Drosophila melanogaster: one gene and its partner. The protein of the gene in region 1 purifies or fractionates together with the protein of each later gene. This does not show direct contact. Each region holds a gene or a part of one and is shown in the gene's direction. Other genes may lie near its edges.

Region 1 (3,741 bases):
ATTTATAAATATAAAGGCATTCCCAAAAAACTAATTGTTAAATATAAAAAAGAGAATCCACAACAAATAGAACAACAAAATAACACAACAACAGAAAATATAAATACAGTATTTGATACTAATCCTGTATTGTATCCTAGAATATCCGCCTGAGGACAGGCTAAATTTAAAGGATGGGGAAGTAGCATATGTGCCATAGTATAAGACCACATATACTTACACACACACATACATAACCACATAGGAACAGCCATACACAAAATCATAGAATGCCTTAGGATATAAGTCATAAAATCATGTATCCAATAAGAACCCAAATTCTGGTGACAATAACAAATCCAGCCTACCCTAATGTAAACATTAACATCCGCTGCCGAATCAGTTATTCCCACCAAAGGGTCAAAACCGCTTACGCAGCTCAAGTTCTCGGCTGATCAGTACCCATGAGTGATCCACTCAAGAAGGCACCCAATCCAACAGACATAAACATCCGCAGCCGCATTCGCGACTCCCACCAGAGGGTCAAAACTGCTAACACAGCTTTAAGGGTCAAAACTTTCCACGTAGCTCAAACTCGGCTGATCTATATCCATGCGCAATCCACTCAAGAGAGCGCCTAATTAACGTAAACATAAATGAGAGCCTATGTACGCTCAATATGAAGAAGTAAATAAGCTCAGCCAAGGGTTTGCTAAGCGTTCGCTTTGCAAATTAGATTTAGATTTTATTCATACTTCAATTGTGTAAGACGTGAATTTGTCTCCGACATTCGCTTAAGTTTTTGATCAATAAAAATACTTTTTTTTTATAAACCAACAAATATAATATAATATATGTATATTATGTATGTATATGTATATTTAAATCATTCCTTTCATAAGCAACTGCACACTGTTGTCTACGCTTAGTCAGATATAACTCGTAATACTTGTGAAACGATGCAAAGCCCATATTCCAGAATAGCGCGATCGTAAAAACAGTGGGAGAGAAATTTTCCTGATAGGACTTGACATTCTTATCGCTTCGGAAATATAATTAAGCATAGGAACTCACTCACTGAATTAAAATAAGACCTCGAATTGAGCAATGCACTGTGGTGCGAGTGTAATAAGATCATATATAAATCCGTTCTAATAATTCAACAATATAAAAACAACAAACAACCCGAGAACTTTCGGGTGTTTTTGCATTTTCAAGTAAAAATGATAAAATAGGAATGTGAGCGTTTAATTGGTTTTTAGACCGTTTATATGTGCGCGATAAAATAAAAAAGGTAAAACGGTAAAGATTGATTATTGTGATTTTGGAGAACTGTTTGTAACTGTCTGCAACAAAACGTTCTTCTAAAGTCCGGATAAATTTTTGGTTAAACACGTTGAAGAAGCATAAGTTGAAAATGTTGAAAACACACCATAAAAACATATACTGAGTTGCACTAATAGGGCATTTTTCAATACTATCTATGCTTTTCAAACGTTCATTATGATAAAAATAAATTATGTCAATGTCAGCCCACAATCATTTAATTATTGTCCACTTGGACAGAAAATCTTTTTAAATATTGTCAAAAGTAATAAAAAAGTTTTTACTAAAAATTGAAACATTCAATAAGTTATTTTAGTTATTTAATACCAGGGGATACGGAGTTTTGTGCTTACATTTCAATTGAAGTTAAATAGTTTCGTTGCCCAGTGATAGACGTATTTGAAAAGTGACTCTCTCTCGAACTACTGTGCAACGAAATCCGACATCCGTTGAGGGGTCCGATAGGCTGGCGCAAAAGCTGGGTTGCCAGTGACTTGAGCTCTGCGATGACAACCTCAAGTCTTGCAATCGGCGCATCCGTAGCGCTTATTCTGTTGATGTTGACTGGTTCAGGGCATTGCCAAGTGGGATACGTGCGGCACCTGTCGGAGCTGCGGATAAGGGAACTTGAAAAATTGTCGGTTCGTATACAGGGCTCCATCAACACCGAAAAGTATGCCTGCGAGAGCTATTTCGACTACGTCTGTAGCCGCAATCGACCCCTCTTTTCGATCATGGGTAAGTGAGGAAAGCCTGTGTTGGGGGAGTGCCTAATGCATATACCCTATCCAAGGACACATGCCGCAAATGGGCGATCTTATGCAGTTGCTGACCGAGCTGCAGAACGATCCAGAGCCATTCGAGGCTAAGCAGAAGACGCTGGACTTCTTCATCTCCTGCAACGTGCACCACGCGCTGGAAGACTGCTATCGTGAGACCTATGAGTATTTCAAGCCACTTTTCGGGTATATAGTTACAAAAAACATGCTCAATGGAGAATCCCACGAGCTGGATGACTTTCTGGGCATTTTGGACCGCTTCGTCGTCAGGTTTCAGAAGGACAGAGAGTCGAATCCCATTCTCAGCAAGCTGGCCACGTATAAGCAGAAATTTAAAACGCCGCGAGTCTACTTCCATGCTAGAGACCTGAGCCGGGAGTACAAGGACCTGCGGATCTACCGGGAGAGCTACGAACACAACGTTCGCAATCTGGAGCAGCACAGAAAACTGAATTCAACATACGAATTGGGGGTTCAGCGCACCATGCTGGATTGGAGCATGTACCTCTTTCAGAGCCGCAACAAGCCCATGTCCTACTTCTACTCCACGTTTACGGTCCATTTGTACATGATGCTTTTTAATAGTCTGGAGCGTCAGCGTGATTTCACGCGGTTTCGCGAAGATGTGGAGTGTTTAAGGCTGCCGCAGTTCGTTAATGTTCTGGATGAGGCCAGAATGCTGGCTGTGATCTACTTAAAGAGCTTCCGAGCGGCCTGGATAGACTACAGCGCCTGGATCAACTCGCCTCCACAGAACAGTGGGATATACGATCAGGAAAATGGCGTCCTTCAAAAGTACCATCTTGACAACAAGCGTATATTTTTTACTCTTTACGCTCAGAACTTCTGTGAGTTTGGGAAGGATCTGGCCGAGCATGTCTTCTATCTGGGCCTTAAACAGAACAAGGACTTTTACGACATATACTCTTGTGGATTCCAAACGGAAAACCCTATGACTTGTGTTTAAAAGATCAAGACCATTTCTACCATATATTTAGTTTACGAGATACAATAAAAGCAATAACATTCTCATAAAGGTGTACAAACCATTTGAAAAAAATGGCTTTCACTAAAAAACAAGCGAAGTTAAGATACCCAAATATCAGATACCCGTTACTCAGCTAGTGAAAGAGCAAACGAGAAATTTCTTCCATATCGATTGAAGTTGGGAAAAAAATAAAAAAAAGAAATATATAATAAAAAATTTTGAAAGCGTGGGTCATGCATACGGGCGGCTTGTGGCCAAAAACTGAAATGTAAAACAAGAGAGAATGCTTAAGTCGAGTTGCACGACTATCAGATACCCGTTACTCAGCTAGTGCGAATGCGAACGCGAAATTTCATAATTTTTCTGGGATATCGATAGATGGGGAATAAAATGAAAAACAAATTAAAAATGGCTTAAAAGTGTGGGCGTGACCGGTTTGGAAGCTTAAGGTCGTTAGAGTGGACGTGAAAAAAATTGTTTGGCTAACCGATAGAATATTACAAGACTTATAAAATTATGAAAAAAATGTAAACATTTTGCAATAGTGTGGGCGTGGCAGTTTTGGGCGGTTTTAGGGCGTTAGAGTGGGCGTGGCAAATTTTTTTGGCAAATCGATAGAAATTTACAAGTCTAATAAAATTATAAAAACATATCAAAACATTTTTCAAA
Region 2 (3,759 bases), about 26 Mb from region 1:
CGGACAACCCCATGTGGAACTTTGTGCGCGACTTCATCGCTGCTCCCACGCAGGAGGACATCAAGTGCCATGAGCCCAAGCCCATTCTTCTGGCCACCGGCAGGGTGAGTTTTTCCATTAATCAATTATTATTAACTAAAAAGCAAGTCTGAAAAAAAACAATAGCGATTTTAAAAGAATTTCTGAAATTGCCTAAAGGTATGCAGCACAAAAATCATTCCATTTGTTTGGAACTTTGTTGAGTGTTGTGTGCATCAGAAAATAAATTTAAATGTGTTTAATAGTGCAAAGGAACAAAATACCAATTTTGGAATAGAATACATAAATTTATGTAGTGGATTTTGTTTTTATAATGCACATTTAAGTGGGGTAATTAAACTGAAACGTTACGCAAATTAGTTGTCAGCTCATAAAAATCAAGGTAAGGTAGTTATAGCCAGGCTATAGGTCATCACTTAATGCGCAACTGTTATTTAAAAATCTAAGTGCACTTTAAGCATATCTAACATGTACATTATCCATATTTAAGGCCACCTTTCCCTATGAGTGGCAGCCAAAGATTGTCTCGGATCAGCTACTAAAGATCGGCGATGTGATCATAGCCGCCGTGCCCTGCGAGTTCACCACAATGGCAGGACGTCGTCTGCGAAACCAGATTCGAGCAGCTGCCTCCGCCGTCGGAGGCATCGACACCGAGGTAATCATCGCCGGACTGACCAACATATACACCAGCTACACGGTGACCCCGGAGGAGTACCAGGCGCAGCGTTACGAGGCCGCCTCCACGATCTTCGGTCCCCATACCCACTCCATTTACATGGACGTCTTCGAACGCCTGACCAAGGCCATGATGCGTAATGAGACCGTGGATGCGGGTCCAAGTCCGCCGTACATGAATGATGTGATGCTATCGCTGAACACCGGGGTTCTCTTCGACGGACATCCCATAAACACCGACTTTGGCTACGTGAAGTCGCAGCCCAACAAGGAGTACGGCATCAACGAGACGGTGAAGGTCACCTACATATCCGGAAATCCGCGTAACAACCTCTTCACCGAGAAAACCTACTTCACCATTGAGCGAAAGATCAACGAGGATCGCTGGAAGGTGGCCTATACGGATGCCAGCTGGGAGACCAAGTAGGAAGCGCCAGCTTGAGGTTATAAATGTTGGTACTTAATAAAATCGTTACTTTTCAGAATGGTCTGGCACCGAACCAATACGATCCTGGGCTTCAGCGAAATGGACATCTACTGGGACATCAGTCCGCAGACTCTTCCCGGGGAATATCGCATTCGCCATTCCGGGGAGTACAAGTACATCCTGGGCGGAAAGTATCCCTACGAGGGACTCACGCATTCCTTCACCGTTAAGGAGGACTAGGATTAGATATCCGTGTGGAGTGATTTTATAAATATTCCTGGCCAGACAGTTGTAGGGCCCATCAAAAACAAAATCAACACTGAATCCATGTATTTATTTACCATTTGTAAGTGACGAAGGAAAAGCTTTATTTTTGCAAACGCGAATAAAAAAGATGCCAAATTATGTTGAAACTAAGGAGAAGTGTTTTTAATTTTGATCGAAATGGCTGTTCTAGTAGTCTTTTGACATTGCTTCACCTTTTTACCAATTACAATTCAAATTGCCCGCCACCATATACGATCCGCAAACAGCTGTTCGAATGAAATCCACAATGCTGTACAAGTTTCTCTCTTTCAACTCTTTTTCTCTTTTGTGGTATTAAATTGAACTTCGAAATTCGAAATTGGTGCTCTTCTCTTAAATTCGAAACAGAAACCAGAAATTCTCTCTCTTTCTGGATCTGGAAGTCGGTATTTATCTATATTCGAGGCGGCAGCAAAACAAAATCAGTTCCAGTCGGTATTTCTCGGCGCGCGCACGCGAATTAAACAGAAACACAAATTATATTTTTGTAGTCAAAACTGTGAAAAAGGGAATTTACTCCTCGGGGGACCAGAGAAAACAATCCTTAAATTCGAGTCTAAACGAAAATATCTAAAACAAACGTGATTTGTGTGCTTCCAGTTAGAGTGCATAAAATGTATCTATAAGATACGAAGTGCGGGTGGGCAATGCAATCGAGGTGTTCTCGTTGAATTGTAAACAAAGAAGGCGGCCAGTTTCATTGACATCCATTGAGATCCAGCAACAAGTTCGCATAAGAAACACAGGGTAAATTAAAGAAATTCCACAGATACATTTTCTAGAACTTCTGACGTGTTCCTCCTGCCGGCATCCGTCGTGCACTGATAACAATAATCGAGTCTTTTTACTTGAATGACGGGAATGTGGGCCATCTAAATTGAATATTCGATTTTGATTAGAGAGAAATGCTCTGCTGCGCTGTGACAAAAAAACTAAACTGATTTGAGTGTTCACATACTATTCTATATGCACTTGTTGTCACCACATGGCGATTCAATTGACCGCTTTTTGCCCCCACATATTCCCCATTTCCTACTGCTGATGCTCCTCCCTCCTCCTCCATCTCCGCTGGCGATAAGCCTCTAAATATCTGGACTCGAAAAAGTCTGTGCGGCATAGGCGTCAATGTGTATATGTACTTTTTACGTCCGTCTGGGTGTGTTTATATAATGATGATCAGGGGGCGAAAAGAAGGAAGTGCCGCAGTCACGTAGTCAATTGTAGGCATTTGTTTTGGTCTCGTTTCCCGTGCACTTCATCTTCCAATGCAAAGGGTATAAACACTGCGTTGCCAACTGTGCGAAAAAGGATGGCCTAGTTCAGCAAGGAATCAATAGATTTGAAACAAATTGTTTTCTTCCTTTAACTATACATTTCAGTAGCAAATTACATGAATAAGTAATATTAGGTAGTCAATCAGTGACTTAAAAATAACCAGTTTATTAAACTGTTTTCAAACCTGTTTGTAAAGAGGATACAATTACTTTAAAGGGTAATAAAGTTACTCTTTATATAACAGAATCCTTTTTTAAATGTATAACATATATAACATAATGTACCTGGTAAATGTCTATGATTAAAACCCAGTTGAAGTGACTCCTATTTAGCACGGACACAAACCTCATTTAGCCGCTCTTATTAGCGGGATATTTCTTGTCTAATTGGAAATACTTAACCAATTAGACTCTGGTTTGGATGATTAATGGCTAGGCGTGTATTTTTGAAAATACAATCGGATTCAATAGCTTCAATTAACTTACGAGCAAGGTGTGTTAATTTATGAAATTTATAATTTAGCCGCAATCTGGTTCGTTGCTCCCCGCCTGCTTTTTCGGCCTTTCGCCTTTACGTCCATTTGATCAGTATTATTTGTTTGCTAATTAGTTCGGCAATGACGACCGGTTGGCAATAATAGAGTTGGATGCGAAAACGAAAGTGGCTGCCAAGTGGATCACCAGTTCCATCCATGTGCGGAATGCAATGAAAGTGAGGACAATGTCGACAAGGAGCTGCTATTTGGCCCACTTCCTTGTCTGGTTTTTGCGCCCATTTCGCTCCAGCCTTTTTCCCAGCTCATCTTTCGCTTTTATAATGTTCAGCAAAGTCTTTGAACCGGTTTGGTATTGCGATTTCCATCGGGGACGCCTTTTATGCTTACATTTCAAGGTGAATTGTAAAATTTATGTGTGCACACGCTCCATGACGGCATCTGACTGGCATTAAAGCACTTCGCCATGGGTTAATCATGGGGGCCAGCCGGGTGTTAAGGCAGCTGGGGATGAGCTGCGAACATTTGTCATTCATTACTA

The links.
Region 2: the proteins of CG1092 (region 1) and PH4alphaEFB purify together in Drosophila melanogaster (affinity purification with mass spectrometry, with the first as the bait; one large-scale study listed by BioGRID). This does not show direct contact.

The regions. Positions count from the first base shown.
Region 1 is NT_033777.3:4,265,163-4,268,903, forward strand, and holds CG1092 (uncharacterized protein), read left to right. Parts: upstream 1-1,607; 5' UTR 1,608-1,811; coding exon 1,812-2,043; intron 2,044-2,098; coding exon 2,099-3,051; 3' UTR 3,052-3,154; downstream 3,155-3,741.
Region 2 is NT_033777.3:30,464,178-30,467,936, forward strand, and holds the start of PH4alphaEFB (prolyl-4-hydroxylase-alpha EFB), read left to right. Parts: upstream 1-1,872; 5' UTR 1,873-2,197; intron 2,198-3,759. Other genes in the region: CDase (ceramidase), read left to right, coding at 1-104, 530-1,140, 1,201-1,384.